Linked DNA regions of Drosophila melanogaster. The protein of the gene in region 1 interacts with the protein of each later gene in a biochemical or structural test. Each region holds a gene or a part of one and is shown on either strand. Other genes may lie near its edges.

What was found.
Region 2: the proteins of Cenp-C (region 1) and Mis12 form a complex in vitro, tested with the Drosophila melanogaster proteins (2 studies listed by BioGRID).
Region 3: the proteins of Cenp-C (region 1) and Nnf1a form a complex in vitro, tested with the Drosophila melanogaster proteins (2 studies listed by BioGRID).

Annotation. Positions count from the first base shown.
Region 1 is NT_033777.3:8,562,546-8,566,301, reverse strand, and holds the start of Cenp-C (centromeric protein-C), read right to left. Parts: upstream 2,198-3,756; 5' UTR 2,048-2,197; coding exon 2,046-2,047; intron 1,974-2,045; coding exon 1,466-1,973; intron 1,405-1,465; coding exon 70-1,404; intron 7-69; coding exon 1-6. Other genes in the region: CG31460 (uncharacterized protein), read right to left, coding at 2,938-3,359, 3,416-3,419.
Region 2 is NT_037436.4:6,967,413-6,971,043, reverse strand, and holds Mis12 (Mis12), read left to right. Parts: upstream 1-1,995; 5' UTR 1,996-2,109; coding exon 2,110-2,179; intron 2,180-2,242; coding exon 2,243-2,535; intron 2,536-2,647; coding exon 2,648-2,830; 3' UTR 2,831-3,009; downstream 3,010-3,631. Other genes in the region: CG9953 (uncharacterized protein), read right to left, coding at 1-162, 225-363, 425-1,212; CG10064 (uncharacterized protein), read left to right, coding at 3,237-3,631.
Region 3 is NT_033778.4:20,585,624-20,589,296, reverse strand, and holds Nnf1a (Nnf1a), read left to right. Parts: upstream 1-2,058; 5' UTR 2,059-2,123; coding exon 2,124-2,224; intron 2,225-2,280; coding exon 2,281-2,493; intron 2,494-2,567; coding exon 2,568-2,682; intron 2,683-2,887; coding exon 2,888-3,043; 3' UTR 3,044-3,075; downstream 3,076-3,673.

The DNA.
Region 1 (3,756 bases):
TGTTGTCTGCAAAACGGGGAAAAAAGGTTTTTTTTTTCCTTCGCAACATATAAGCGATCTTGAACTTACCATTGGAAGATCACGACGAGTAGATCGTGGTCGCCCTCGTCCCTGCGATCGATCATTGCTTTTAGTTCGAAGACTTTGTGTTTTTGGCGGAACCGGTATATAGTCTTCATTCGAATCATCCGAGGACTGTTGTTTTGGCAAACCTTCGGCCTCATCCATTAGATTTCTACGTAGCAGCTCCCTCTGAATCTCTTCTTCTAGGATAAGCTTCTCTGAACGATGGTTTCTGTGCCCATTTAAAGGATATATCTCGTTCAACGAGTTGCGCTTGCGCAAATCCAAAATCTCGTAGTTGCTCATCCGGGTTAGCTCGCGGGCAAACTGCTCGCCATTAATGGGGGCACTTGGAGCCTTATTCAGCGGTATAGCAGTCTTTCGCGGCTTTGACTTTTTGGCATTGACCGACTTGTGAAGGTTAAGCAAGCGCATAGAGCTCTCCTGAGATTCGATTGTAGCTCGAGCCCGATTACTACTGCGCAAACGCCGTTGCCGGGTTGTGTTCCCACCTGAAGGAGCTAGATTTAATGGCACAGTGCTGGGATGTTCGTCGCTTTCGTCGTCGGTCATTATGGCATCCATATTTTCTTCCACCCGCGGCAGTTGTGCAATGGATTTCTGGGGAGAGGCAGCGGCGGATCGCCTAGGAGAAGGCGCAATCGGTGGTGAAGATAACGCCGTAACTGGCGAAGTCGGAACAGATTTCATTGCGACAGCGTCCCTTCTTACACTACGATTCGAATTGGATGTGTTTATCACCACAATTGGGCTGATCGCGCTGCGCGACAGAGTCTGCACCAACTCTCCCAGATCCTGCGGCTGGGTTTCCGGCACTACGAACTCCGGTTGGGGCTCTGATTGCCAGGCTGGGTCGTGACTTTGTCGCTCTGGCGTGTCCGGGACCATTAACTCCTGATTGAACCGCTTTGCCTTAACTACTGGCATTTTGCTCGGTGTGTCATAGCGATGTGATGGCGATAGCAGCAGCTGGCCTGGAGCTGGGCCCTTTTCCATTGTGTAGGTACGTCGTAGGCCCGCAACGGATGGTGATGACGGAGTAGGGGGTCGCGAGTACGGTGCCCGTCCAGAATAGTCCAGCTGCAGTACATTCTTGTGAAAGGAACTCTGTCGCTCTTTGCAGATTTGTTCAATTTCAGCTGCAAGAATAGGGTTCCTGGCAGGTGAGGTCACCTTTGTCTGCAGCGGATTTTCCGGCTCTGGTTCTTGTGATAGTTCCATAGGTTTTTCCGCTGGTTTATCAGTTTCCACTCTTGTTGTATTTTTGGCAACTTCCTCTTTTTGTTTCTCTGTGCAAGGTGTGCTGCTTATTTCTGGTAACTAAAAGAGCATTGTTGTTAGTACAAGGATTAGGTATTTGTGGGACATGTATTTAACATACGAAGTTTACAGGACTTGATATGCTGCGGGTCAAGTTTACGGTCTCCTCAAACTCTGGAAGCAATTGGCGTCCACAGCTCCTGGACCGCCGGCGGATGGCATGTCGACGTAGTTTATCAGATCCGGGTACATTTCCACTGCGGCGCATGGAACGTCGGTTATTGGGCGACAATGTTGGCGATCGACGCGGAGGCACGTTCTCATTGGGGGCCTGGTCCACAGGCGGCTCATTGACTTTCTCGGTGGCGGCACTGTTTTTGCTGACCAACTCCCCAAGGGGCTGTACTTCTGGTAGTTTGGACTTGGGCTTAGCCTGAGACTTCTTGATCAGTGGAACCTCGAAATCAAGGTCAAAGTCAAGTTTGAAGTTTCCAAAGAGATTGTCATTCTGTGCCGGCTTATTTTCGGCAAGCTTGCGCATCATAAAGGCGGCGAAGCGCTCCTTGTCCTTCACTGGCTGGCTTAGGATGTCGTCCAGCTCCAGAGTGTCGTTGTTCTGGGGCTTCGACCTGAAAAACAGACGGGTGAGCTCGGAGTTTGTATGTTCTCTTGCCTATGGCATGCTCGCGGTGGCAACTTACATATTTGCAATTGAAACTTGAAAAAAGGATTCTTCACGAAGTTACATACACGACAACAATAAACTTAACTTATTTCGCTAAAACTCCACAAAATTTTAAACTACAAAAAAGACGCGACGCTATTCATTTGGCGTTGCCAGTAACGTCTGTAGGCGCGCCTAGGTGGGGTGTTGCCAGAGCGCTCGAATAGACTATCAGAAAAGAGCTATAAATATCTAAAAGTTTCTTTGATAATAATAAGACATCACCCTGTATAATTACAAATGCATGATGCAATCGTTTTTAAACAGTTATTGTTAAATACAGCTGAGTTTATTTCAAAAGTTTTTATTGAAAATATACTCGAAAGCGTTGACCAGCAGGCAACCATTATATGCAGTATTTCATTACTAAAATATACTAAACGCGTAAAACGCAAGCTGGTCACACTTTGCCGGCAATTTTTGTTGACAAAACAAATCCAAAATGTTTAAAGCAAACTAAACCGACTTTTCAGATTGATCTATTTGTTCGAATTCACTTTATAACAACTGGAAGCAGCTTTGAAAAGCAACCAAAAAGTGGAGCTATACATTTTCTGCGAGAAGGCATGCAATAGAGACGCTGTGAAAACGACTTTGCGTTCGAGGTTTTGATTCTGTTGGAAAAGGATTACGATATCCATATAACCAGAGATTGGAGTTTTTTAACTGAATTCATGAATTCCCAATAAGATCCCCTATTCCACAGCACCAATACTCAGTAGTATAAGGCTGGCCAACTGTAATAATGGAGCTTGGATAGCTTCAAAGTGACCGATTGACATGACTTTATAAGTTAGTTATTTATTAAAGGTTATTAAAGATTAGGTATTCGAATGTGTTAGTAATGAAATAAGAAGCAGACGAATGGTTCATTTGAACTTCTTTCCGCCCTTTCTCGTCGTAGGAGCATCCACGCTGGGCACCTGAACGGAGTAATACTTCGTGGAGATCCTGTTAAGGAAGTAGAGCCCCACCAGGGAAAAGAGAACACTGGTGGTGGCGCAGACACGATGCACGAGTCCCGCGGCGGCCACCGTGAGTGAGAGACAGAAAATAATCTCTGGTAGCAGCTTGGCCTGGAAGTCCTGGCCGAAAACAACCATCTCCGCGTTGGAGACGCACGTGAGGCTCAGGATGAACACCCAGGAGAAGAGGTATCCGCCCAAAAGGACCCTCAGCTGCGAGTCGTTAAACCATTCTGAGCAGAAACGCAGTGTGCCGAACAAAACAATGCTCAGGAGGCCCGAGATGATGGAGGATACCACGGTGCTCTTACTGCTCACTGAAGCGGCTGCAAAGGTTCAGAGTTTAGTTTTTGTTGGCCGTAATTTCCTTGCATTTGCTTACACATATTACTTTTTCTTCCAGCCGGCGTCTTTCTTATACGTGTAGTGAATTATCGAACTATCGAAACTGATATTTGATAATACAAGGGATATTCCAGTATGTAACGACTAAACAAAGTTTTATTCGTTAGGCAGGCATTTTTCTCTATTTTTTTTACGTATTTACATGAAAAATTCTCGAATGACAAATTTGTGCTTGCAATAAAAATAAAAACAGATATCGTTATTTAAATACTGACATCGATAATTTTTTTTGAGAAGTAATATTTAAATCAATTGATGTGGCAACGCTGCGGCTTTCGTGGTGAATGACATTTGTAGTAACAACATTACACTTGAGCA
Region 2 (3,631 bases), on another chromosome or scaffold:
GGCCGTCTCCGAGTCCCAGGAAACGTTCTTCATGTCCGCCACCATCTTGTCGTACTTGTAGTCCAGGCAGGTGGTGTTCGATTCCTTCAATAGCATATCGTTGACCAGGCCCAAACGGGTCACAGGTGGACCAGCCGTGGTGTTTAGCATGACATCGCAGATCTATGGAGTTCAAACATTCTTAGTATGGACTTGATAGGGATCAAAGTGAGGATGAAACACACGTCGTCAATGGTGATGGTGGCATGGGGACTGTTGTCCTTGTTGTATTGCACCACTCCAGCAAAGTTGCCAGCCAGATTCTCAAAGAAATTGGCCATGTCCAGGTCGTTTTCAATGGAGTCCTTGATGGGAGTGCATGTTCTGAGTATAAAATGGTTTACAAAATTAAAATTTGTGCAGGACGATAGCCTAATCCACTCACTTGAACTTCTCGTCCAGGCTGCGTTGTCCAATCATGTGCTTGAGTAGAATCTCCACTTGCGCAAAGCTGCGGGTCACGGCGTCCACGCATTCGGGCTTGTAGGCAGCTAGAGAGGCTTTGACCACCTCGAAATACTCCTTGAAGTCAACCTCAGCCAGCAGAGGACCACTGGAGCTAATTGAACCGTAGATGAGCTCGGGATACTTCTCGCGTGCCCAGGCGGCCAGCGATCCCGGATAGGAGCCACCGAAAGCGATCCATTTCTGGCCATCGCCCAGATTGAACTTAACCTTCATGGCGGTTACAAAGCTGGCCAAGTCCTCCAGAGCCTGCTCCGAGCTGAGATAGTGCAGATTTTCGGTGGACAGATCAGCGGTGGGATGGCTCTTGCCATAGAAACGATGCTCCAACTGCAGACACAGCGCTCCAAAGTGCTCGGCATAGTGCACCCAGGCTCCTTCGCGCATCCACTTGGCCGACGCCTCGCCCTCGCCACCGATCATCAGGAATACGGGTGCGGAGCTGTCATTCCGATAGAAGTCGGCATTCACAAAGTATCGCTGCTGCCAGGTGCGCTTATCGCTCGACTTGAAGTGATCCAATCGCTGCTCGAACCACAGATCCTCCGAGTGCAGGCTCCTTTGCAGGGTTGGAATCTTGCTGGGCTCCCCGAGGAATCCCTTGGTCAGCCTTCCGCGTCGAAATCCCATTCCGGAAATGGGCGCAAGCAGTCCCAGGAGCAGAAGACCCACTCCCAAGGGCCTCAAAACGCCCCCAATGAAAAGCATATTTGCTTCCTTTGTTTGTTCGGGTCAAGTAGAATTTGCCAGTAATTGAAGTATTTAATTAGTTGGAACCTCGCACAGTGCCTAACTGTAAATAGCGACTGAAGGAGAGTGGTGTGTTCTATTTATATAGGCACCGTTATGTGTGTCGCACTCTCCTGATTATTCAGTTCTCGCTGTATTATCTATATTCGCAAAGCCGGCAAAGCAAAACTAAAACAGTAGGGGCATTCATAGTTATTGATTTCAATCATTAATTGAATTAATTTAATTTTAAGCAGAGAAAGATTTCTGTATGCTGTAAGTGTTCTGGTAACTTTACAAAACTTAATTTAGCTTTTTATTTATTTATATTATTTCCTAGCTAGATATTATCGATGAGCTTAATAGCACCGTAAATGTGAACGTGTTTTGCAAAATTTTTGTCAAGTAATTAAGAAAAGTATACATTCTTGCATGCTTTGATAATTTCCATCTGCGTGTAATTTTAAATTCTCACTGAACTAATTTAATGGAAGTTTCCTGAATTTCAAATGCTTTAGGTAGCTTTAATAAACAACATATAGTTTATTTGAATTATTCCATATATTAGGTAAATATTATTGTGGAGTTTCACTGTGCCGTTAATGCGAAAGCTTAATAAATGTATTTGTCAAAAATTTTAGGAAATTGTGCATGTGTATGCGTTGTTTTTATATTTTTCATCTGTATAGTCAGTTATAAGTAGCCAAATTTAGTAACTAGATTTTGTAGCTAAGTATGGCAGCACTGTTGCTGTGGTAGCATCTCTTTGTATTCTGAAAACGGTAACACTAATTGCGCGACAATTTGGATTGTTTACGTTTTTATCCAGTTTAATTGTAATATAATTTAAAAAAAATATTGTTGTTAACTGTCATAATGGACTTCAATAGCCTAGCCTACGATCAGAAGTTCTTCAATTTCACAGCGGCACAGTTGTCTGCAGAGCGTGAGTGCTACATCCTTATATCTCTGGATCAGCGTCCTTTATCCATTAATTCCTTTTAAATAGGCGAACATATTGTGCAGGACATAATTAAGAAGGGTATTGGTCAGATCATCGACAAGATCAAGACACCCGCCACAGCGGAATTGCTGGAAGCCGAGAAGGAGACCGTTGAGCGTCGTTTCCAGGCATCCGCCTCCAAGGGCCTAAAAGCCCTCAGGGAACTGGACAGCAAAGTGTTCCACGTTCCACCGCATGTGCTGCATCCGGAGCACATGTTCGTCGAGAATCAGTATACCAGCGAAGAGGAGGAGCAGAAGACAGCCAGGTTGGAGGAGCTGAAGGCCAAATACAGAGAGGTAACTTGTAGAACCAATGGAAACTATCTTGTATGCCTCATTTTAATCATTATAATGGGGAAAAGGATGCTTTATTTTATGTTTTAATAATGCTAAATCACATCAATTTCAGAACATGGCCATGCTGGCGCATTTGAAGATCGAGGAGGAGAAGTACGCCGCCATGGAGGATCTCATCCAGAAGGAGATCGAAATGCAGGATCGCGTGCAGCGAAGCTGCTCCTCCCTCAACATCACCAAGCTGAAGCAATTCTGGAATCAAGTGCCCCTGCAGATAAAGAAGGAGACTGATTAAATAAACTAACTGGATCAAGTTTTTTAATCTACATTTCCAATATCTTCTTTCGAAACTAGTTTTAACCCTGGAGTCATTTATAATCACTAAGACTCTTCTATATTCCACTTTACCTATTATTATGTCGTTAACTTAGTTTTAAACTTAAAATTAAATTAAATTAAAATTATTATGAATCCGAAACACCTAGATGATTACTTACTAGTTTTAAACCAATTTACCTTAGCATTATATTAGTTCCTTTGACAACAGCGGCAACCAAGCAACGGTCGCTGTTTAAATTTTCCAACTGCCTTGTTTTCAAACAGAAAACAAGCCGGTTAAAAAGTTTCAAGCACAGAACAGACACAAAAACCCCCTTATATGTTACATTTCGAATCGTATATTTTGCTATAAGCCTGGAAAAATGGGAGACTCGCACGATGTCTGCAGGCAGCTGCTGCCGCGCGCAATCTTCGGCATCAATGGCAAGGTGGAGAATGGAGTGCGCCAGCATCCGGTCACGGGATCCATCATCTTTGCGCTGGGCAACAAAATCGGCATCGCCGACTACAAGAAGAATACGCAGGAGTTTGTGGCCGGACACACGAACACCATATCGTGCCTGGATCTCAGCAAGAGTGGCAAATACATGGCCTCCGGTCAGATCAATCACATGGGCTTCCGCGGCTATGTGATCATCTGGAATTACGATCAGCGCAAGGAGATCGCTCGCCACGATCTGCACAAGGTATCTGTGCAGGCCATCTGCTTTACTGCCCAGGATAGATGCGTTGTGTCCATCGGTGGCGTGGATGATGG
Region 3 (3,673 bases), on another chromosome or scaffold:
ATGGTATTTAACTATAATTATTGCATATATTATTCTTATAATTTATTCTTTTTTTTACTGTGTGTTAAAACTAACAAACAATATGAACATGATTTTAATATGTTAACTTGTTAATTTGAAAGTGCCAGAAATCTGCGGGTAGAATAGTATAGGTGACTGACTCTTTAGTTCCATGGAGCAACAAATACCAAGAGAATAAACAAAACGAACTATTTAGGTGTGTCTCTGAAATATCTTACAAGTCAAATTTGGTGTCATAGAAATTTTGTAAAAAGAATTGAGCAAACAACTGAGATTTTCAACAAGTCATGCCTATTGATTTGTTAATATAATATATATTTAAATTTTTAAGCAATACTATTTACAATTTGTTTGCTGACCAATTTGGAACTCAACACATTTACGTGAGAATTCAGTTCAATGTCAACGAACGCGTGCAAATAGCCGCGAAATATCTTTGGAATTGCTTCACTCGAAATAAACGCTAGAAACAAACGAAAAATACCTCGGCCAAAAAAGGCAAATAAAAGCGAATTTTTTCGCAAAACTGGAAATCTAAACAGAGACAAAGGAGATTCGTCACAATCGCCAAAGAACGAAAAGCAAAAGTTGCAGAATTGCTGAGAAGATTTGCAGACGGAAGAAGAAGAGAGCTGTTGTTAAAAAGCTGCAAATGCCAATGGGTTAATGAGGGGGAGGGGGGCAAAGAGAAAAGAAGAGGAGCAATGAAGAGAGGGGGGAGGCAAGTAGGTGGTAATAAGCTGCACCCAACCAACAAGCGAAACAACAACAGTTAGCTTCCATTTGTATTTTTCTCTCTCATTAGCCTCTCTTCGCCATTTCCTCTGCCTCTCCGTTTTCTACGTACCTCATCGATTGATGCTAAAAACTATGAATAAAATATAGGTTAGGCCTTTTCCTTATTTGTAAAAAGCCAACGAGCGTTGAACTCGTCTTGTAGCGTGGGAGTTTTGCTTTCGGAACAACGAAACTATTTTGTTTTGATTTTATCTCAGCGAATTATAATGAAATTTATGCACCGGTGTAACCGCGTGGAGATAAAAGAAAAAGGGAAGCAACGAAACGAAAAGAAAAGAAAAAACAGCAAATGTGAAAAACAAAACAAGCGACTAAAGCGATGGGCCAATTATAAAAACAACAACTATGCGACTCTGTACTTTAAGTAAAAGCCGGCATGCGTGCGAGCAAGCGAGAGAGGCAGAGAGAACAGGGCGGCAGAGCGAGAGAGAGCTAGGAATATTTCTGTGTGCCCTGGTGGTTGTAATAAAATGAAAGGAAGAAAAACTGTAAAACTCAAGCGCCGAAGCCAAAAGAACGATTTTGGGGGTGTAGTTAAAAATCACACTATATTGCTATAAAAAATCGGCATGTATTGGCGAATCTTTTTCTTAGAAATGTATTCAGGAAAACACAAGACCACACAACACACACACACATTGCTTTTAGCCTGGTTTATTTGCCTCGCAAATTCGCTTTTCATTCGCGTTTCCCCAGGCAAAAGATAAAAAAAAACTGTAGAAGAAAAACTCACCTATCGGGATGCCTTTGTTTTCCTTCAGCTACGAAGACTTTGATGCCACCGAACTTAATCACTTAACTTTCAATTGGTATTCAACACGATTTTGTCCGCCACTAAACACTGGCTGGTAAAATATTATTCAAAATATGTATAGCACAAACACACTAGAGCTGAGTTAAAATGCACAAAAGTTAGAGAGGAATTGGAAAATGGCGTATCACCCTGTCATCGATACCTGGACTATCGATATATGATGGTTGAAAACGGTGGTTTAACACTTATTCTTAAAAATACTGTTCGGTGGTATTTATTCATTTTGTTTGACATTGTAATGTAAAAGGCACATATTCTCACCATACCGCTGAATGAAATATATTTATATTTTCAACATCACTTATGTTACAAGGGACTTATGAGTAATAAGAGCTAGTGGAAATACCTCAAAAAAAAACCAATAACAGGGTTGTCACCATACTCTATAATTTCTATCGGCCTGGTGTTTTGCAGAAACTTGCAACTGGTCACACCAATGTGGCATTGTTTTGTTTTGTTTACAATTTGAATTTACTAACAAATTATTTCAATGGAGGATTCGGAAGCCGCATTTAAACGCCACGAGGGTGTGGGACCAAAGGTGAAACAGGCCTACGAGGAAGCCATTAAACAAATCTTTGCCGACTTGAGGTAAGCAGCAGGCATAGTTAACATGATAACGAATATTAAAAATCGTTAATATCTAGCTGCGCAGATCTGCAAGCGTGGGATGCCATTTACCAGGAGCACGAGCAATCCGCTCTGGACACCGAAAGCATCGTAGATCGCACTCGCAGTCTGATGACCAAGGTTGTGCTCGAAATGAACCGATGCTTTTTCGCCAGCAACGATGTGCCAAATAAGTTGCAAACTTTGGAAATGCTCAAGGAACATTTCGCTGCCTACGAGGGCAAGAAATGGTACATGTGCAGCATAAAACATAATACGATTCGATTGCATTGCTAACTCTACTCTACTCTATTGTAATCTATAGGAACGTGAACACTGCAGCACCCGATAAACTCACTCGGCCGCTGCGCATGCGATTTTTGGACTTCAGCGTGGAATTCATGGAGCAGCAACTGGCCTCTCAGGCAAAAGAACTTGAGGTGCGATTTGGATATTAGTTAATCTTTGTACTATTACTGCACTGTTTTGAGTGTACCAAAAGATCCCTAAAGTTAAAGAACCTTCGAGAAGATTTTTAGTTTAATAATTTCATTTCTATAGTTTATCATTTGCATATACATATGTACATATCTAGGTTTGTTATTCTATCAGTATAACTAACATTTGTTTATATTTCAATTACAGATTGCTATGGCCAAGAGCAATGCCAATCGCGAGCGACTCCAACATGTCCATGACAAGCGCCTGAAATTGACTGTCCAAATGGAGCAGCAATTGTCGCAGTACGAGAAAGTTAAGACAGAACTTATTAAACTAGGCGAAGCATTGAACGACTTCTGACAAACTTAAATGCAATAAATAAATAAAATACTACGCTATGAGCTTAATGATTTGAGTGGGGGGTCTTAAAATGGAAATTCATACAAACTAATCTGCATATTCATTAATGTACATACATATGTATGTACACATGCATTTGTCATTGACATTCACAATTTATTTAAATTCGTATCATTGCAATAAGCTCATAATATTAACGAGCAATTGTTTGTATTGGCGACAAAAAATCTTTTAAAATTGAATGTATATACATACATTTCAAGTTATCTCTATAAAGAATACGATAAATAGTACGAAGTTTTTAGCTAAACATGTGTAAACTTATGTATGTATGCATGTGTTTTTTGAGTGATTTCTTAGAATCGCTGTGTGCTTACACACTCCCATACATACATACTTGATTGCGTAGTATAAATCAAAGGAATGGTATTAGTGTAAAAAAGAACCGAATTTTTGCTAGATCTTCCTCAAAAAGTAACTAATAATATACATTTAAAGATGTTTTTTAAAAGATTCGTTTTAATTTCCCTTGTGAGACTGCACTCATTATACAGATTTTCAGTTATATTTTAAGGCAATAAGGACATTGACTCTTTAAAGTGAGGTTATGTGATGTGTGTATTATTGAAA